3 linked regions of the Cricetulus griseus genome follow. The protein of the gene in region 1 purifies or fractionates together with the protein of each later gene. This does not show direct contact. Links are inferred from orthologs where the notes say so. Each region holds a gene or a part of one and is shown on either strand. Other genes may lie near its edges.

Region 1 (7,483 bases):
CATTTTTCATTTGGGTATGGTAGCCCATGCGTATTATACTAATAACTGGGAGGTAGAGGCAGGAGAATCTGGAGTTCAAGATCATTTGCCACTACATACTAATTTAACATCAACCTGAGCTACATGAGATCCTGTCTTAAAACAAAATAAAGTTTAAAGGGTGTGGGGGATGGGAGTCTCTCTCCACAAGTTCATATAAATCTTAGAAATCTGTGGGTTAGAGGCTGGAGAGATGGCTCAATGATTAGGTCCCAGAATTGGTTCCTAGCACCCACATGGCAGCTCCCAACTGTGCTCTGCAATGTGAATGCTGGGAAATCAAAGCTGGTCCTCTGGAAGAGTAGTCAGTGCTCTTAACTCATCTCTTCAGCCCCCTACAGCTTTCTAATAACTTGTTTTTTGATGTTTATGACCTATAAAAAGTTCTTTCCCCTGGCCAGGGCACAGGTGTCTATGTGGAGGTAGCCTTTGTAGTTCTAGGGGACCCAATACCTTCTTCTGGGCTCTGCAAGGACCAGACAGAAAACTAAATCTTTAAAAGAAAAAGTAATGAAAGGTGAAAATATCACAACACATTGTGTATATGTATAAAATTGTCAAAAATCATTAAAGTGAAGGGCTAGAGAGATGGCTCAGAGGTTAAGAGTACCGACTGTTCTTTCAGAGATACTGAATTCAATTCCCAGCAACCATATGGTGGCTTACAACCATCTATAAAGGGATTTGATTCCCTCTTCTAGAATGCAGACAGAACACTATATACATAATAATTTTCTTTTTTTCCAAGACAGGGTTTCTCTGTATTGCTTTGGAGGTTGTCCTGGAACTTGCTCTGTAGACCAGGCTGGCCTCTTAACTCACAAAGATCCACCTGCCTCTGCTTCCCAAAGTGCTGGGACTAAAGGCATGTGCCAGCACTGCTGGGCCTAAATAAATGTTTAAGAAAAAAATTTTGAAAGAAAACAAGTGAACCAGAAACTAGTTCCTACATAAAAAGTAAAACATGGCACCCCTGAAAACCACTTGAAATTTTTGATCTTTTGCCTATACATACAAATGAGGGCCACAGAGCCAGATGTGGGAAACAACTGTAATCTCAGCAAATGGGAAGTGGAGGCCTCAATTACACAAGTTCAAAGCCATCCTGGACTACATGATCCTGTCTCAAAAAATGAAAAAAAAAACTTACAAATATGACCTATTTTAAAACCACATAATAGCCAGATGGTAGTGGCTCACACCTTTAATCCCATCACTCGGGAGGCAGAGGTAAGTGGATTTTCTGTGAGTTAGAAACCAGCCTGGTCTACATAAGCTAGTAACAACCACCACCTCCTTGCTCTCAAACTGTCCTTCTGAATTTGGGCAATGCTCATTTCTGTGAGCAGAAGTGACTGCACCTCAAGGGACTTCTAGATGCAGGATCAGCTGGCAGTTCCACATTAGGGTCCTGGAGTGTTTTCTAATACACATGTGTCCGAAGCAGATCTCTGAGAGTTCAAGGCCAGCCTGGTGTACAAAGTGAGTTCCAGACAGCCAGGGCTATTACACAGAGAAACCCTGTCTCAGGGGAAAGAAAAAAAAACAAAAAACAAACAAACAAAAAAAACAAAAAAAAGGAAAATGAGCTGGACATAGGCAGGCAGATCTCTGTGAGTTTTCAAGGCCAGCCTCATCTTGGTCTATACAGTGAGTTCCAGTCAGAGCTACATATTGAAAAAAAAAAAAGAAAGAAAAAGAAAAAAAAGTAAATAAATGAAACCAAGTGCAGTAAAATACTGTGTTTATGTTTTTTAAAATTTTTTCTTTTTTGGTTTTTCAAGACAGGGCTTCTCTGTGGCTTTGGAGGCTGTCCTGAAACTAGTTCTTGTAGACCAGGCAAGTCTCGAACTCACAGAGATCCCGAGTGCTGGGATTAAAGGCGTGAACCACCAACGCCTGGCCACAGTATACTGTTTTTAAGGCAAGAGGATCAGAGGGGCTCAAGGTCACCCTCCTCTTTGTAGAGTTCAAAGCCAGACGTTGTGTATAGGTTTATATGTATATACATGTAGGCACTAACACAAAAGGAGACTGAGGATCAGCTCAGCTGGTAAAGTGCTTACCTTTATCCTTCACACACACACACACAGACTGAGGTTGAGGCAGGAGAATTTGAAACTTCAAGTCAGACTGGGCAACTTAGTGAGACCATCTCAAAACAACAACAAAAAGGATGAGAATTTAGCTCCATGGGAGGGGATTGCCTGGTGTATGCAAGGCCTAGTGTTCATCTAGCACAAAATAATAAGTCTCGTGGTACGTGCCTACAATACCAAACTTGGGAGACTTGCACTGAAAGACTGACTATGAGGCCAGCCTGGGGTACTAAGACTGGCCCTATAAGGGAGAATTAGTCTTCAACGGGGATGAACTCCCTAAATGGTTATCCAAGGCCAAATGGTTAGCCTTAAAAATAAGTACATGCTAGCTACACTAAATGGACTCAGGTTGTATGAATTTGGGGAGTGGGTAGACATGAAAGTAACTGGAGGGAGATCCTGTTAAAACACGTACATACATACATACATACATACATACACACATACATACATACATACATGTTGTTTGTTTGTTTTTTGTTTTGTTTTATTTTTCCAGGCAAGGTTTCTCTGTGGCTTTGGAGGCTGTCCTGGAACTAGCTCTTGTAGACCAGGCTGGTCTGGAACTCACAGATCCGCCTGCCTCTGCCTCCCGAGTGCTGGGATTAAAAGTGTGCACCACTGCCACCCACCATATAATTATATTTTAGTTAAAATAAAGGTTCACTGGGCTGAGGATTTTTCAGACCCTGGATAAATCAGCACCACACAAACACAAAAAGGTTCATGACTTCCAAAGAAATCTACCTCATATCTATCGTCCTGTAAACAATGACCCTCACCAAGTGACTCTAGTGAAAACACAGTGCAATTAAGGTTCACTGAAAAATCTTCACTTCCAGCCACTTGACAGAAATTATCTCATACACACACACACACACACACACACACACACACACACACACGCACGCACGCACGCACGCACGCAAACTTGGGAAGACAAGATACCCACATGAAAGAGGCGGAAAACAAGGCCTGAAAGTTTAACTCCGTCGGGGTTAGCAAAGCCAACTCCAGATTCAATCACCTGTCATGCCGTCCTAAACACCACTATGAATTAACCCATCAAGGTAATTGTTAGAACTAGGAAACTGGTAAACATTAAGGAGCAAGCTGAAAGACCAACTGATCGCGTTAAAAGAAAAAAAAAAATAGGGCACCAAAGCAGCCCACGAACAAGGTACTACTGACTCACATTTAAAGGACGAGTCGGGCCGCCAAACTCAATTGACAGGCATCAACCACCCTCAAAGTTCAAAGGAATCTTGTCACCCCACCCTGAGCCACAGGTCCTCCAACGCCAGAATCCGGGCGACTCTGGAGCCCCTGTGTCCCGCGGCGCCCCATCCTTGCCCGCGCGGCCACCGCTGCCCACGGACACAGAACTCCTCGCGGCCTCCCGCCCCCGGGCTTGCGGCCTAGGCCGGGGCCGCCCACTCCGGCCCACCGCGCCGCCTCCCGACCCGAGGCCCCGAACTAACCGTTGTATGACTTCCCTTCGTCCGCCATGGCACAGGCAGGTACAGGGGAGGGCTCAGGCGCAGAACCTGACGACACCAAACGCCCAGACGTCTTGGCGCTCAGGACTGAAGCGCTCCTACGACCGGCGCCACCGCATTTATCCGGCGAAGCACGTCGCGCGCCGCCGACGTCCCCAGGATGTGGGCGGTGCCGCGGGGCGAGAACGCGCTCTCTGCGCCTGCGCAGAAGCAGGGCTGCCTCCAGAGGGCGGGGCCAGGCCCTTCGAGGCCCGCCCACGGCCGTAGCTCGGGGCGCAATGGCTTGTTGGCCGTCTCTGCCTTCCTGCTTCTCCACTGTCCCAGTTGTGTCGGGGTTTGCTCTGGAGTTGAGCGGGCTGCTTTAGCCCTGAATTCTTGAGAATCGGGGACCAGAGCCACACAAAATGAAGACCTAGCCTCTGAGTGGGAGTAACGGCTCACAGTCTCCGTCGGTGAGATTCCCGGCAGCTTGTAAGTCGCAGCTCAGCTCCTTGACAGCCGCACGCCTATTCCCTCCCAGCTTTCCTCGCCTCTACGATGGATTGTGACGAAATAGAAAATTGGAATGTAAGCTCCACCGGAGCAGGAACCTTAACTAATGCACAGCTTCTCTTCCTCCAGCCCGCCTGGCTCAGTACCGAGCCAAGTGTGAAACCTGTGTGAATTAAATGAAATCCTGTCTCTTTTAGGCCCTCCACAAATTGTTAGGAAAACAAAAACAACCCCTCCCCACCCCCCAAAAAACCAGCATCAAGTCCCGCATGATGGCGCACACCTTTAATCCCAACATTTGAGTGGCAGAGACAGGTGGATCTCTGAGTTTGAGGCCAGCTTGGTCTACATAGAACTTTCCAGGACAGCCAGGGCTATGTAGAGAGATCTCGCTTCAAAAAATCAAACTGGGCATGGTGGTTTAATTCTTTAGTCCCAGTACTTGGAAGTTCAAGGCCACAATTGTCCATACAGGGAACACCCTGACAGCCAAAGCTACATAGACAGACACTGTCTCAAAACAAAAATAAAATGCACCTGTCAGGGACATAGTGAGCACTGGTCTTTACACTCGAGGTCCTAAACACCATCATCCCTATTAGGTAGACCCAGATCAGCTAGGTGGACAGGGAGTCAATAGTAGTGATTGGATTTTATTTTTGGGAGTGTTTCTCTGTGTAGCCCTGGCTGTCCTGGAACTTGCTCTGCAGACCACATTGGCCTCAAGCTCAGGAGATCCACCTGCTTTTTCCTGCAGAGTGCTGGAATTAAAGGCGTGTGCCAAGAGCTCTTATAGATGACCTTCAGTGTGACTAGGGCTGACCCTATTATGGCCTGAGATTCCTGAACCTGCTGGGGGCGGGGGAGTAAGCAGATGGGACATCCATAGGCATGGAGCAATGACGTCAATACTAATCAGGGCAAAATAGCTTATTAACCTTCCTCCAGAGTCTGTGTTAGGTGGGTTGCCTCCATTTTTTCAGTGGCAGGTTTGGATTTGCTGAGGGTCTTAGAAGGTGCCAAAAGCTGGGTCCAAATTCTCTTCTGCTCCCAGCAACAGAGGTCTTGCTTCACTGAATTCAAGAATCAAAGCCACGTGATTTGCGAATACAGATGGAAAACAGGCCCCAACATAGCTTGAGATGTCCTAGAAGCTGCCACCCAGTTAAGAATCCATTAGGCTCCAGTTCAAAGGAAAACTCTGCTAATGAAGTGCTGTTATACTTGCTCCCTTTCTCGGAGGGAGTTGTAGGTACACAGCTCCAAAGCTACCCTGCTTATCAGTGAGGCCCTTCAGAGCCACCAACTCAACCCTTTTGGTTCTGGTATTGGGCACGATCCCACCCAGAAATGACAACATCACTACTGAGGCTGACAGTCTTGCTGTAATTGGGAGGAAACAGGTTTGCAGCACATTTGGCAGATTGAGTCACCAGTAGCCAAAGTCAGGTTTGTGCAGGCAACTGAAGGGCTCAGAGCCTCCTCACCTCACATGGTGAAGAGAGGAAGGCAGTCAAGTTCTAACCCGATGGTAAAGTTGGTCCCTGGGATAGTTTTGTTTCCTTGCCTCACTCTCAAGGAGGCAAAGAGGGGCATTATCTCCCCTTGCTGCCAAAGTTACCTTTGGGGGAGGCTGGTAAGGTTTTATAAAAATCTCCTACTGGAGACAACCTCCTCCACTGGCCCCTAAGCAGGCTTCTGCTCCCAGCTACTTTCACAGCAGAGTCCAAATCCAGAACCAGTGTTTCAAGGGCCTGAGGGTAGGACAGAGTGGCCAGAGACAAGGGTGGGGAATCGGGACACTGGCCATTCTTAGCAGTTCCAAGGAAATGGCCTTTCTCCCAACCACCCTATACAGGCTCAATGGCAGCCATGGCCACTTGCCCTCCCAGAAGGGTCCCAAACCCTCTGTGGAGTGCCTCAGATTGAAGGAGGGTTCAGGCAAGGAAGACCACAAAGATGATGAAGAAGACAATGAGGATGAGGAAGATTTTGACCATGAGCCACCGATTGGAGGTGACTGACTGGAAGTACTTGAGGATCTCTGAATGGGCGGCCTCAACATCCAGCTGGGCTCCAAGCACATTCTCATCAATCCTAGAAATAACAGTCAGGAGAGAAAACAGGACATTGCATTAAAAGAAACACCTCTGACATCCATTTATGGATATGGAAAGGTGATCACAATGTATAGAAGTAAAAACTTTCATATTATGTGGTCTCTTTCATATACATGTATCAGTGTATACAAGTTTACAAGGTTTTTTGGGGAGGGGGTAGTAGACCGTGTTTGGCTAGTTTGAAAACTTTTGAGCCCCCCACCCCCCAAGTCCATATGAGCATTGAAAATGCTGTATTTTTTTTTTTTTTTTTAAAGACAGGGTTTTTCTGTGGCTTTGGAGGCTGTCCTGGAACTAGCTCTTGTAGACCAGGCTGGTAGTGAATTCACAGAGATCCACCTGCCTGTGCCTCCCAAGTGCTGGGATTAAATTCGTGAGCCACCATGTATTACAGTTTTGTTTTGGGTTTTTTTGGTCATTTTGGGGGGTTTTCCAGACACGGTTTCTCTGTGTAGTCCTGGCTGTCCTGGAACTCACCCTGTAGACCAGGCCTGCCTCTGTGTCCCAAATGCTGGGATAAAATATATGTGCTATTACCACCATCAAACATTGTTATAATGGAGGTAAAGTTCAGACCACTACAGTAAGAAAATTCTGGTTGGGGGATGGGACAACTTTGACAGGAACTCAAAGAATACTACAAGCCTTATATCCAAAGAACATTTATCTCTGGGGAACAAGTCCTCAGAAGAAGGACGGTTTGAAGACTTATTGAGGCAAACAAAACTTTCCCCAGGCAATCTGTGTACAATCCTGAAACCCAAATATTGTGGCTGGGCACACAGCTCAGTAGGAAAAGTGATTGCTTAGCAACCAAAGTGCTTGCTTGGCAAACACAGTACAGTGGGTAGCCAGAGAAAATAGGAAAAAGCTAGGTTTTGTGGCTACCTGAAAAAACCCAAGTTTCAGCTAAGGGAGAGAGACCCTACCTCAAAAGAATAAAGAGTAATAGAGGACATCTGATGCTTTCCTTTGGCCTATGTCATACAAAACACACACAAACACACACACACACACACACACACACACACACACACACACCCTAAAAAGAATTTAAACCCAAATACTGCCCTATGTCACAAGATGTTTCAGATGTCATGCCTACCTATAAAGCATGGCAACCACTAGGAATATACTGCCTACTGACAGTAATTTTACATTTTGTGATGTGTAAAAGCACCTAATGACAATTTTTCAAAGAATAACCTCATCCCTGTGCAATATATGATGA
Region 2 (7,213 bases), on another chromosome or scaffold:
TAATATTTATTTATTTTATTATGTATACCTGTAGGCCAGGAGAGGGCACCAGATCTCATTATAGATGGCTGTGAGCCACCACCTGGTTGCTGGGAATTGAACTCGGGATCTCAGGAGGAGTAGGAGTAGCCCGGGCTCTTAACTTCTACGCTATCTTTCCAGCCTTTTTGTTTTGTTTTGTTTTGGTTTGGTTTGGTTTTGGTTTTTTTTTTTTTTTTTTTTTTTTTTTTTTGGTTTTTCAAGACAGGGTTTCTCTGTGGCTTTGGAGGCTGTCCTGGAACTAGCTCTTGTAGACCAGGATGGTCTCGAACTCACAGAGGTCCACTTGCCTCTGCCTCCTGAGTGCTGGGATTAAAGGCGTGCACCACCAATGCCTGGTTTATTTGTTTTTTGAGACAGGGTTTCTCTGTGTAGCCTTGACTGCCCAGGAACTATGTAGACCAGCCTGACCTCAGAGATTCGACTGTCTCTGCCTCCTGAGTGCTGGGATTAAAGGTGTAAACCACCTCCCAGCTAGATTATTTATGTTTTTTTAAAAAAAGAAAGATAGCTGTACAAAAGATTTAAATTGCTTGTCTTTTCTTATTTTAGGATGTTCTTCTGCCCTAATGGTGGCAATGATTTTAAAAATGAAACTAAAACAGTGAAGGAAGTAAGATTTCAAAAGGAACTTCCCCTTGCCTCCTGTTTATGCCTTAGGCACTAGGTGCAATCTCCACTACTGTAAGGGGGATAAAAAGAACTTTTTTCTCAGCATACTGGAAGTTGGAATAAATAAACACCATCACCAAAACTGACTGTTTAATTCTTTTCTGGAAATGTTAAATTTAGTATATGAAGATAATTTTGAAAATTGATGCAAATTTTTTTTGAATATTCCAACCCTCCTTTCAATTCAAAGACAGGGTCTTTCTATGCAGATCAGACCGGCCTATACTTTACTATGGAACCCAGGTTGGCTTCTGATTTTCCTGTCTTGGCCTCCTTAATGCTGAGATCAAAGATATGTATCACAATATTCAACTTTAAAGTAACACTGTCAAACAGGGCGGTGGTGGCTCACACCTTTAATCCCAGCACTAGGGAGGCAGAGGCAGGCGGATGTGAGTTCGAGACCAGCCTGGTCTACAAGAGCTAGTTCCAGGCTAGGCTCCAAAGCCACAGAGAAACCCTGTTTCAAAACCAAAAAAAAAAAAAAAAAAAAGTAACATTGTCAAGATTTAACAACCACGATATATAAGAATTACTCCATAGCGTATATTAGCAAATGTTATAATATTTGTTGACTTAAGTAGATTTATTTAAATTGAAGCTGGAGGCCAGGGTGTTGGCCACACACCTTTAATCCCAGCACTCAGAAGTCAAAGGCAGGTGGATCTCTGAGTTCCAGGACAGACAGGGCTACTCAGAGACCCCCACCCCCCACCTACCCTCCCATCCCAATACCCCACTCGAAAAACAAACAAACCAAAAAAGTGAAATTTATAAGGTTTATAGAATCACTGTTCCTTTGGAAAGTATAAAAGTCTTTATAATTGTTTAAGGCTTTTCAGGAGAAGCGGATGAAACAAAAGCCAGGGGCTGGGGATGCTCAGGAGACCCTATGGCAGGCAAGCAAGTGAGCACACCAGTAAGACTGAGACAGAACACATATATCATATACTGTATACAGGTTCTATTTTCTCACCATTTTGTTGAGACACCTTGATTTGGAATATTTGAAAACCAACATATCTATACATTGGTAGCACTTAAGAGAGTCTCATGCTTTTTGACCAGGTAGGTCTCATTTCTCTGTACTCTACACCTGCATCTATACACACCAAATGGAGACCAAAAAGATAAAAATAATTTTATGTGTAAAATTTCCAACTCTTGAGTGTTCCAAGTATTTATGATGTAATGTCTGTATTTTTTTGGTGGTTGATACAAAGAACTGAACTCTAGTTTCAGAGCCGGCTCTATTTTCTGGCCAACACATTATGTAAAATCGAAGGCAGATTTAAGCAATCTGGAGATGAGAGTTTCACTTATTTGACATATATCGAGTGGCTGAGCTGTAACGCTTTAAGTGAAAACTAGACAACCTTAAAAGCTCCAAAGCACTAGAAGGAAAAAAACAAAAACAAAAACAAAAACAAACTTTGTGCTTCAGGTGCAAGGAATCTAAGAATTGTCGCGGCTCAGTATGCTTGCAAACTTTTAGTTTTGCCGAAATTTCAACATTGCCAGAACCCCCATCTGTATCCCTTTGTTCAGCAGACTCCCAAGGACTCAGAGCAGACTCGGTGAGTCCCTGGGAGAAGTGCCCCGCTGAGGCACTTCTGAGTGCCTGGGATGCGGTGATCAGGAGCAGAATGGCGGGGCGTTTTCACACTGGTCACTCTAATTACCTCTGATGAGCCTCAAAGATCCCCGGGTGGAAGACTAGGCCAGGTACCCCAAAGCGAAAGGTGGCGACAGCGACATCAGCGGTTAGATTTTACAGGCTTTCACAGAACGGTCTAACGCTCCTGCACTACAGTTACGGTTACTAGACTGTCAGTTCCTAGGTTAAGATGAAGAGGTGGAAGGGTTGGGAGAAGGTAAAGGAGGATCGGTAGGGTTCAGGAAAGGGGAAGGGGAGGGGAGGGAGCAGGAGGCCGCCCGGGAGGCCACAGGTTTATGGGCAAGGTCTCCGCGTTCCCATGGCAACGTATCCCTCCGCCCGCGATTCGATCAGCCTCTTAGGTCCCTCCGCCCCGCCTCTAGGCTGTTTCCGCCCAGCTCCTTTGTGCCGCGCAGAACGTTGACACGACGCATGCGCAAGGGGAAAAAAAAAATCCCCGCCCGCCGCATATATAAGCGCGACTCCGGCCTCTTCCTCCAAGTGCCGCCGGGAGTGTCGACGAGCGAGGACGCGCAGCCGCTTCCGCGCTACTCGAGCTGCGAGCACTGCGAGCTATAGCCGAGTACGCGGGCCTGCCATCATGTCACGTTACGGGCGGTATGGAGGAGGTGAGCGGCCGGGGCCCGGGGGAGGCTGGTGCTGGTGGCGGCCCGAGCAGAGGGAGGCCGTAGGGTCGGCGCGGCGGTTGGAGACGGTTATTCCGCGTGCGTAATGGCGGCCCCGGCGCACGCCGTCCGGAGCTGGAGCCGGAGGCCGCGGGGGCGGGGTGTGGGAGGGAGAGCGAGCGGGGCCGGAGGGCGTGTGTGCGCTGCGGTCCCCGGGCCTGGCTGGAGCGCCGGGGGCCGGGTCCGCCGCGGCGTCGCCGGTACCCGCACTGCCGCCCGCCTCCTCCCCCACCCCGCCCTCGGCGGCCGCGGCTGCCATTTTGAGCACATTGACGACCGCGGTGGCGCATTTTCCTCAGCGCTTTCCCGCCACTGGAACGGGCAAGTCTGGGCGCTGAGGTCCGGGGTCGGATTGGAGACCGTACGAAACGGGCGGCTGCGAGCTGCGCCTCGCCTCGCCTCGCCTCGCCTCGCCTCGCCTCGCCTCGCCCCCGGCCACGGGTTGAATTGAGGAAGGAGCGTTGCGACCGGCGACGGCCTCCTTTCTCCTTTTTCTTTATTTTTTTAAGCCGTTTCTAGCGTGGCTGCTCTGGCTCTGAGTCAGGGATTTGGGTGAGCAGGAACCGGTGCACCTCTGCTTCCCCGTGGACTCTCGCCGGGCCGGGCCACGGGAGCCCGCGCGCTCTAGCTCGGGACCGGGTGGGGGCGGGGCGGGACCGGACCGGGCTCGCCCACCCCACGCCTTTTTAATCTATCACGCTCCTTTGCAGAGTTTTTCCAAGGTTTCCATCCTATCAGAACGCCAGAACTTGGTCACGAGTCGGGCTTTCATTATTTTCACGGGGTTAAGGCTACCATTTAATCACTGGTGGAGACCGCCAAATAAAAGGAGCCAGGCATGGTGGCGCACGCCTTTTAGTCCCATCTGCCTCAGGGAGGCTCGAAGGCAGGAGACTCACCTGAGCGTTGTGTAGATAAAATATTTGGAGTGTGGCTCCGTACTAGATCACTTACTGGCTCAGTCTCCTTGAGTACCCCAAAACAAAAACATGCACTTTGTGCAGCTTTAAGGGTGGTCTGTTGTAAATGAATCCAAACTTAAGATACACTTGGGAATAACATTTCTTCTGTTTGCATTTTGAAACAGAAACCAAGGTGTATGTCGGTAACCTGGGCACCGGTGCTGGTAAAGGAGAATTAGAAAGGGCATTCAGTTACTATGGGCCCTTAAGGACTGTATGGATCGCCAGAAACCCTCCAGGGTTTGCCTTTGTGGAATTTGAAGATCCTAGAGATGCAGAAGATGCAGTTCGTGGATTGGATGGGAAGTGAGTGCGTTTAAAATATTCCTGTGGACTAGATCGAAGTCTTGTTAATCATAGATTGCTCTGATCGGGTTGCGGGGGTGGGGGGGGTGCTGACCCTGAGCTCACCATAAAGCTCAGTTAGTGTATGGAGCGATCCTGAATCAGCCTCTCTGGTGCTGGTGTTACAGGCACCTGATAATTTTAAGATAGCTTTGTAAACAGACCTTGTAGGGGGAATGAGTAGTTTGTTGGTAGATTTCTTTTAGAAATCGTGTGGATATTTTAATTTTAGTGTTTTCTTGTTGCAGGGTGATTTGTGGTTCTCGAGTGAGAGTTGAATTATCGACGGGCATGCCTCGGAGATCTCGTTTTGATAGGCCACCTGCCCGACGTCCCTTTGATCCTAATGATAGATGCTATGAGTGTGGTGAAAAGGGACATTATGCTTATGACTGTCATCGCTATAGCCGTCGAAGAAGAAGCAGGTATTTAGTTAAAAAAGGAATGGTTGGTATTCTAGTTAATCAAAGTAATTCTTTTATTAGCAAGGCAGAAAACTAGTGTTTTTCTATAAACTTGAATGTTAATTGTACAGGTGTATTTTACAATTTTTGTTTAATTAAAAATGTTAATATATTAATAATCAACCTGGTCAAAACCTTTCAGGTTTCTTCGTTTGAGTCAGTCGCCTTGATTCAGAATGTCACGAGCCTTATGATATCATGCTGAGGCGCCTTGCAAATCCGACAATTAAGATCCTCCTAGACCTTGAGGTGATCAGCATAAGAGGCCAGATCCCCTCGAGTCATCTACACCTAGCTTCACCTTATTCTTTAAAGGGCAGAAAATTTGAGTCGGTGATCGCCGTAACAGTAAATTTGGCTTACAATTGGGGCCCCCTCCGCTTTAGAAAGAGGAACACCAGATTGACCACATTCCCACCTAGAAAAATCTTCTTGCGTCAATCAAGCCTCACCTGGCTCTTTTGGCTGTCAGTTTGATCGTCGTTAGATTGAAGAAAACATCTAGATGCAGCGATCGGCTATAGATACTTCTAGATCGTCTAGATCTACTAGACCTACTACTAGACCATGGGCCAAAGAGGGTCGACCTGCAAACTTGCAAGGTTTATTTTAAATACACATTATGGTGTTTTATATTTTGTAATTCTAAGTTGTAATTCAGCTTTTAACAAATCTTTTTTTAGGTAGTAAAAAAAAAAAAAAGCTTATAGGCCCAGAGTTTTTCCAAATGAGATACTAAATTTTAAATAGTTTTTGAGATTTGATTTCAGCAGAGGTACACAAACACTAAAACTGAGTTATCGTCTAATATTTTGTATTTTTCTAACTTGAAAAATAGGTCACGATCTAGATCACATTCCCGATCCAGGGGAAGGCGATACTCTCGCTCACGAAGCAGGAGCCGGGGAAGAAGGTGAGAAATACTTTAAAATTCGAGGGTTTTTTTGTTTGTAGATTTTTTTTTTTTTCTTTTGGTTTGTCAAGACAGGGTTTCTCTGTGTAGCTTTGGAGCCTATCCTGGCACTCAGTCTGGAGACTAGGCTGGCCTCGAACTCACAGAGATCTGCCTGCCTCTCTGCCTCCCCAGTGCTGTGATTAAAGGCGTGTGTCAGTAACGCCTGGCTTGTTTGTAGATTTTTTGAGATGGGGCTGGCCTTATGAGATCCTCCTGCCTCTGCCTCCTGAGTGCTGTGGGGGAAAAAATAACGTATAACATATGTCACCACCACCTAGCTAAAATTCAAGTTTTAACAACTGGGAAAAGAAGATGGACTTAGAATGTCTTAATTTTTAGGTCAAGATCAGCATCCCCTCGAAGATCAAGGTCTGTGTCTCTTCGTAGATCAAGATCAGCTTCACTAAGAAGATCTAGGTCTGGTTCTATAAAAGGATCGAGGTATTTCCAGTATGTAACACATTTTTCCTGCTTACTTGTAAATGAATTGTCACGTCTTAATGACACAGTGAAGTACTTTAATTGAATGAGATACTTCAGAATATTTGAGATGTGAAGATTAAGTGTGGTGAGATATTCCTGTAGTCCTAGCATTTAGACTGAGACACTACTGTTACTTGGGCCAGTATTTGAGGACAGATGGGAAGCATATGAGGTTCACACCCCACCTCAGAACAGAGTTAAAAAACTAAATTATTCCAGTGAATAACCTGGGTAGGCATGATGCTAGCTGGCTGAAGAAATGTTTGGCTACAAAGCTTGCCATCAAGCCTGGAACCCATGTGGAGGGAAGAGAATCAATTCCCACAAGTTGCTCTCTTGAGTTCTGGAAGGTTATGGCATTCACCTACTCAAACATACTTTCAGTAAAGAAAATGTAAGATTTTTTGTGTAAGTATTTTTGTGGTTACATAATTTGAGACTCCTTTTGAGTGCTGGGATTAAATGTAATTAAACCTTACATTTGGATATATTTCATAAAAAATTTGTACTAGAAGAAGCAGTTATATATAAAAGCCACTGGCCTTTATTGCTGTTTAACAAAACTGTTAACAGTTTGAGAAAATTATTGTACCATTTCTGTATCAACACATAAAATCTCAAGGTTTTCAAAAGATATATATAGTCAACGTAACTTGGTTTGACAAATAAAGGACCCTTCAACTGAGATAAAATAAAAGTCAAGTCATAGCTGTTTTCTCAGATGGAACCACCTAGTATTAATCTTGGTTATTAGTGTTTGAAAATGGGACAGTTGTACCTGCACGGTAGTGACCAATACCAATTGGGCATGACAGAGCAGATATTTGAAAGAGTGCTTGGTTCTTTTTTGTATTTGAAATCTGATCATTTGCACTGCATTGGATTGTTTTAAGTCAAGAGTCATGCAGCAGTTGTCTTAGCTCCTCTGTCCTATACTTGAGTCCTGGAAA
Region 3 (7,224 bases), on another chromosome or scaffold:
GTACAACTCCACTTCCATGAAAAGTCCAGAATGGGCATATGCCTAGAGAGACACAGAATATTAGTGTTTGCCAGGAACAGGATTGAAAGGGTGGACAATAACCAGCTGATAAAGGGAAACGTGTTTGTAATAATTCTTGAATAAATCTATGACTATACAAAAACTCTCAGAATTGTGTGCTCGAAATGAATAGCTCACATTGTATATAAAGTATATCTAAATTGAAGTATTTAAGAACATTGTTCAGTATGAACAGGATGCTTTCCGATTTGAGACCCAAGAGGAAGTGACTACTCAGACCCCTCCCCCATTTTCTAGACTATTCCTGCTCAAATCTGAAGTAAGAGAAAGATTTAAGTAAGGGTTGTGCTAACTACCAAGAACTTTAATTTTCCAAAGTCCACACTTTAGATGAGCTGGTTTTCCAAAACAACTGCAAGGAATCCTAACCAACCCCATCTATTGTTCAAAGAGTCTGTTTTACCACAGTTCCCAACTCTCTGCTGAACTGTACTGATGCTGCTCCCTACCTCTCAAATTATCTAATCTCCTCCAACTTCATCTTATCACAGTCTGGGTTGTCTAATCTCTGACATGTATTTTTCAGACAGAGAACAGTAGAGCATCTGAGTGACTCATTTAGTTCTCATAATAATGGGCTTTTCAAAATACACTCATGTATTTATAATTATCCATATGGCAGTGGAGGTAGATGCACGCCATGATGCAAATGTGGAGGTCAGATGATAATTTGTAGGAGTTCATTCTCTCTTTCCACCATGTGCATACTGGGGACTGAACTGAGGTTCATCAGTTTTAATGCCAGGCTCCTTTTCCAATAAGCCATTTTGTCTAACCCAGCAATGTTTTGAAATATATGCTAATATTATTTCCATTTTACAGGTTGAAAGACAAAAGTTTTATAATGCCTAGGTAATTTCTTCAAAGTCAGAGACCTAGTCAGCAGCATGGTTAGAATCTGAATTCAGACTGATGGCAAAAATAGTGTGCTTAATCACAAAGTTATTTTGATACATAAAAAGCAGTTCCTAGTCACTCACTGTATTTTAAACAATTGCAGTTACCTAGTAAAGATGATGAACCTTATTTCCCACCTGTTCTTTTTCCCCCACAGGTTGTTTTATTGTCCTCCTCGCCCCAACACACATCCAATTTGTTTTTCAAATGTTTTCAGTTCAAAGGTCTAACAATCAGAGCCCAATATTTATTTCTATGTTATCATTTTACCCAGCCTTACACTTTTGTGGCACCTCAGCGTAGTCATTCTCCCATCATAGCACAAAATTATGTACAATAAAAATCAGTGTAAAACTCTGAGTTTCCATTCCTCCTCTAACTCAAATATCCTTTCCCAAGTGTCAGCACTTCTCTACTCCTTTAGCACTATTGTCCATCCCAATAGCGACTTCTATAATCCCAAGAGTGGCATCCTATATGTTTCTAGAAAAATGAAATGAGGGAAACTTCACAAAAATGATAAAACTTGCCCTGATACCTGAAGGACAGATAGAAATGGAGTAAACAAATCAAAAAGAAAAAGAAGTAAACAAATCAAAAAGAAAGAAGACATAGTAATATACAAGTAAATGAATAAATAGCACAACGTGTTGATTAGACAATTTGGGACTGAAATTCTGGGTTCAATAGCTGTGTCATCTCGTCTTAAAATTTCTGTGCATGTGAGTGTGCCTGAATGTATGAAGACGTACCACACACAGGTGCCAAAAAAGTCAGAAGAAGATGTCTGATCTCCTGGAACTAGAATTACAGACAGTTGCAAGCTGACTAACATGGGTGCTAGGAACTGAACCCAGTATTCTGAACAAGTATTCTTAATCACTGAGCTACTTCTCCAGTCCAGAGCTGCATCATATTAGCAAAGGTTATTTTTTTGTTTGTTTTGCTCTTTGAGTTTCATCTCAAATTCTTAAAAATATGGGTCATATTAATATCTATGTCTGATTTGTAAGGATTGAATGAAATCATATAAAAATACCTTTCCTCATTCAAGAAAAGCCAATAGCGATATAACAATGAACAGGAGTCATTTTGTGGAAAAATGTGGCTTACTAGTCTTTTTTAAATTTGAGAGAATACTCTAGGAAAAATAAAATCACATCAAAGTAGGCTTTAAATATTAGGGTAATTGTGGGGGTGAGGATACACTGACTAACCTTAGAAGAGGTAAAAGTGAGGGGAAGAGAAAGGAGGAGAGAAGGAAAAAGGCAGAGGGGTTAGAAAGGCAGAGACACAGAAAGATAAGGTAGAAAATGTTTTAGAGATTGGCCGAAACTAGCTACTCAGAATTCATTACTTGGAATTCCTTTAAAATGTATCAGTAGTTACTTGTTTGCCGCTCTTGACACTGCTTGGTAGCAAGAGCTTTGCACAATGCCTGGAGCACAGTAAATGATGATAAATATTTGTTGAAGGAATGAACAATAAGAAGAGAACCAAAACTCAATCAATAAATAATGCAGATTCATGCATCACTAAGAAAATATAGATTAGAAATAAACTGAAAAAAAAATCAGTTTAAATTTTGGACTTGAGAGTCTGAGAAACATGGCAGAACATTCCCATTTTCACTATTAGAAAGATTCCACATGTACAATTTGAGCTCCATAGAGGTAGAACCAAAGTTACAAAACTGTAGTTCATTACCATATAAAGAGCCATAGAGAGTCACGTGGTAGTAGCTGCCCCGGAAGTAATGAGTCAAGGCAGTCAGCATCATAGTGGGCAAACCGGAAGGAACTGAAGCTGAGTGGCGCGCAGTTGGAGAAGAAAGCGGTTCCTGTGGGTACCTTTGTGAACGCTCGCTGAGAATGAAAAAATATAGTGACTGGTCCCGTGGGGACAAACACTATGGAAGGTCTGGCTATTCCTCTCGCGAGCCACACACAAGCTACAGATAGTAAGTTCAAAGAAATATTTGATTCAAATTTTAGATGTCTGACGTGGCCACTTTGGGATTAACTGTTTTAAGAAAGGGCGCCGGGCTACTGAAACCAGTTTGCCATGGCATTTATCATTACTTGAGCTTAAATCTTATCTAGACACGGTTTAATCACTGATTGTTTTAATAATGTGATGATAAAATAGTATTTAACTCATAGTTGCCATAAATAATTGAAAATGGATAAAATTACTTAGAAAAGTGCTTATGGTCACTACTAACGGTCCCTGGTCAGGTTGTTCTGAATAAGCTGTAGAAACCATACACCACAGAATATTGGGTTTTGGTTTGGGTGGGGTTTGTTTTTTGGGGGGCGGGGTGGTGCTTGACATTTAATCCCTTCGGTGTGAAGGGAATTAGTAAAATGATTGTTAAGCACAGGAAAATTTTTAGTTATCCAAACAAGGCGTTAGTAGCAGAGGGTCAAAATGGAGAATATTCCCGAACTTTACATTTTAAATTCTTTTAAACCCCTCGTGCAGCAAGCGGTTTTTCTGAGCGGGTTCTCAAGTCCTGCCCCCTTTTCCTATTGGCTACTGACCTAGGTTTTTCCGTTTCTCATTGGCCCTCAAGCTTTGGGCCCGCCTCATGGGATAAAGCTGTCCTGTAATTGCAACTTTTGATTTTAACTTGTACCAGGGCGGGGAGCTGGGCTGGGGTTGTTTTATTTGTGTTGTGCTGTTTTGTTAGTTTATTTTTGGTTGGTTTTTTGTTTGTTTCTCTCTTTTATGCAAAGTAAACAGTTTGGAAGTAATTTAAACAGATGGATGGAACCAGTTGCAACTGAAAGGATTGGCCACTTAAAATTGGAACTTTGAGGGGGTTTTAACACTAGGATATAATGGGCGGGTTTAAAAATCTGTGTCTTTGGCGGGTCTCGTTTTCTTTGTAAACATTTCCTCCTTCTGCAGCCAAAAGAGCCAGACACGTGAGGAGGTACTGACACCTGCCCTGAAGGAGCATGCCATTTCAAGTTCTCCAATGGCCATGGCTGTGGTGAGTGTGTGACACCATTGAGTGTTGAGGAACTAGGACATGTGCAGCAAAAGGGATGGGAGGCAGGAGCTTGGACATGTGAGCAACTGGCGAATCAGCATCTGGCCCGCCAGCCCCTGGGGCGGGACTTGCTCCCCTCCTCTTCCTAGAAAAGATGCAGGAAGGAGGATGGAGGCTAAGTCATCTTTGGCTTACAGTATCAACCTTTCTGTTGGCGCTTTAAAAATCAGAATCTCCTGATCACTCACAAATGGCAATTATTTTTAATTCAAGGAATAGGACTTTCTCAGTAAAAGTGAAGGGCAAACAAAGTTATTTAATTGGGGATCTTGTGAGAACTCTGAGGCCTTTCATTTCTTGGTTTTTGCAATTCATTTACAAATGCCCATGAATGTTTATATAATGTAAGAAAAATTTCTAAGTGGGACTGCTTAGACTTTCAAGTCATACTTAAAAAAAAGAAAATAACTTCCAAGCTTGGTCATAAGTTGAAACTTAGCACTTACTCAGTGACTGTCCACCAACACCTTGTCTCCACCCACACCCATCACCCACTCTCGAGTTACTATTCCTGTGGTAGGTGAATGTTTTGTAAAATACTGAATTTTTTTTTACTTAATTGCCAAGCAAAGATTCCAGAGTTATATGTGAAGAGTGAAAAAAGGGGAGATAAATATGTTCTAAAGACGTGGATCTAAAAACTAGCTACAGTTTGCTTTTAAAGCTGAAAACATTTATGCCTTGATCTTTAAAATACTCAAATTTATATGATAGCTGATTTTGCATATAGCTTTATAGTGCCTATTTTGAGCTTGCAGGATTATGATTTACCATTGTGAAAATTTGCTCATAGGATTTTAAAACTCATGTGGATCAGGCATGTAGAGCTGCTGAGGAATTTGTCAATATTTACTATGAGACAATGGACAAAAGAAGACATGTAAGTTTTATAGTCTCCCTTGTTCTTTGTTTAATACCATTCATTTGTTTAAATACCATTTATCTGACCTACATAAGTAATTGCTGTATACACATTCTTTAAGACCTGTTTATACTGGTTTACAGTTTGTTTATACTTGTTTATAGTTTGGTATTTTGTTTTCATTTTTCTTTTGGGGTATTTTGGTTTTTTGGTATTGGGGTTTTTTGTTGTATTATTTTTTTTGCTTGGTTGATTTTTTTTGAGAAAACTGCTACTTGAGAAGCTAGGGAAAGAATCTGGGAGAAAGGAAGAATATGATCAAAAATATATTTAAATTTAAAAATTATTTTAAATAATAAAAATATAACATAGGATATCTGATCACATTGTGAACCCCAAGATTGCATTATTTATTGGAAAAACCTGTTTCTAGCTGTGGTGTGGCTCAGGCTTAGCATATACCTTTAACCCAATTGTTTTCTGCTTGCATATTGTAAACAGGATTAAATAAGGTCAACCATAGGTCAAGAGGCAGAGCAACCAACCAGTTGACAGGAAGTAAACATAGGATTATCAAGAAAAAAACATGTAGAGTAAGAGGGAGTCAGGAAGATGGATAGAGAGACACACAGGAAATAGAAGGGAGGGACATTCCTTTTGAGGCATGTTGTTTGAGAAGGCATAGGAGTTAGGGGAGGCTTCTGGGGTATTGGCTGAGGAGGAAGGTCAGCTGGGTGTATTCTCTGCCTCTCTGAGCTATCAGGCTTTCACCCCAGAATCTGGCTCCTGAGTATTAATAAAAATCAAATGATTAAGATTTTGTTAACATTTGGCACCCAATTTGGGGCACAGCCTCATGGACAGAGTAATCATGCCAGCTGAGGACAAACTGAGAAGCCATCGGATTTGGTAATATACCTGGAAAGTCCTCAAGGAGAGAATTTACATAATATTAAAATTGGGAAACATTATAGTACAGAGCTTTAGGACCATGTATATTGCTTCTTTAGATACTTTGAAAATAGAAGCAGAAAATGAAAAGATAAATGATTTAACTGAGATTGGCATAGTGCCGATTATAATTACTATCAGTCTGGAACTTTGCATTTTATCCTCAATAGCCATAGTATTTTTTGTGCCAACTATGAAAAATGGATTCATACGATACAAGCCTTAGAAAGATGTAAATAAAAATAAAAAAATATGCAGACACAGAGAAATTTAGACAAGAACCTACCACACCATTCCATGTTGAAACTGAAGAGGTGTGGATAAGGTTGTTAGAAAACTAACCTTAGCCTACCCAGTTACTATAACAAGAATTAACCAGCAGACAATAGGCTTTCCCAAGTTTTTGAAGAATTTAAATGGAATCTGATAGAAATACTGGATTTGAGGAGATTTAAGGAAGTAGTCATTTCAGATGGCATACATATGTATATTTTAAAGATATGTTGATCTTAGAAAGGAAACCTAGTGTCACACTAGGGAAGAGGTTTTATCTCTGTTTCCTTGGGAGGAGAAAAGCTGTGAATACCATGAATATTGATAAAGATTAGATTCAAACGGGAGAGCCTTCCTGAATAAGGAGAGGTGATAGTTCATCACACAGCTTGGTCATTCAGCCCAAACTAACAAATGCCTTTCATTTGATTAGGCATGAAAAACTAAAAATATGAATAATATTTTCAAAATGGTAATTTACCAAAGGCACGTTTGCCTTACTGGCATGAAATGAAAAATGGGTTTTTTTGAAACATGTGTCTTTATTCCATGTTAGATCATTAAAGTGTAGATTGCTATACAACGCATGCCATCTTGGACATCAGCTTTTGAGTGTTCTTAAATAAAACAGATACTTTTTTTTGTTTCGATATTAAAAACACAGTTAAGCTGGTGGCGCATGCCTTTAATCCCAGCACTTGGGAGGCAGAGGCAGGTGGATCTCTGTGAGTTCGAGGCCAGCCTGGTCTACAGAGAGAGTTCAAGGACAACCTCCAAAGCTACAGAGAAACCCTGTCTGAAAAATTCCCCCGAAAAAAAGTTAAGTGATTAAAATTTTTTAAGTAAAATATTTTTAAGTAAATTCAAACTTGTTTTCTAAATCTCTAAGAGTTGAAGTTAGTTATTTGGACTTAAGATAAAATATTTGAGCAGAACCCTGCCTGGGCAGCACAGTAGAGCTGACTGTTGTTGGGGCCACAGGTGAGCGAGCCCTGATGGTGTGGTAGCAGGAGAACTAACCCCCCTCCCCTATATGCCCCATAAAGCAATCAGGAGACAGGGTGCTCCCTCCCCCCAACCTTGCTTAGGCAAAACAATTGAG

Evidence for each region. The genes of interacting proteins can lie anywhere in the genome.
Region 2: the proteins of Nxf1 (region 1) and Srsf7 purify together in Homo sapiens (affinity purification with western blotting; 3 studies listed by BioGRID and IntAct, with this or other methods). This does not show direct contact. The link is inferred for Cricetulus griseus from reciprocal best matches to the Homo sapiens genes NXF1 and SRSF7.
Region 3: the proteins of Nxf1 (region 1) and NTF2-related export protein 2 purify together in Homo sapiens (co-immunoprecipitation; 5 studies listed by BioGRID and IntAct, counting the BioPlex papers as one, with this or other methods). This does not show direct contact. The link is inferred for Cricetulus griseus from reciprocal best matches to the Homo sapiens genes NXF1 and NXT2.

What each region holds. Positions count from the first base shown.
Region 1 is NC_048596.1:51,335,279-51,342,761, forward strand, and holds the start of Nxf1 (nuclear RNA export factor 1), read right to left. Parts: upstream 3,806-7,483; 5' UTR 3,651-3,805; coding exon 3,623-3,650; intron 1-3,622. Other genes in the region: Stx5 (syntaxin-5), read right to left, coding at 6,070-6,229.
Region 2 is NC_048600.1:3,872,273-3,879,485, forward strand, and holds the start of Srsf7 (serine/arginine-rich splicing factor 7), read left to right. Parts: upstream 1-2,838; 5' UTR 2,839-2,969; coding exon 2,970-2,997; intron 2,998-4,141; coding exon 4,142-4,322; intron 4,323-4,609; coding exon 4,610-4,786; intron 4,787-5,663; coding exon 5,664-5,738; intron 5,739-6,119; coding exon 6,120-6,230; intron 6,231-7,213.
Region 3 is NC_048604.1:38,304,083-38,311,306, reverse strand, and holds the start of NTF2-related export protein 2, read left to right. Parts: upstream 1-2,849; coding exon 2,850-2,938; intron 2,939-3,891; coding exon 3,892-3,976; intron 3,977-4,829; coding exon 4,830-4,916; intron 4,917-7,224. UniProt on the Homo sapiens protein: Regulator of protein export for NES-containing proteins. Also plays a role in mRNA nuclear export.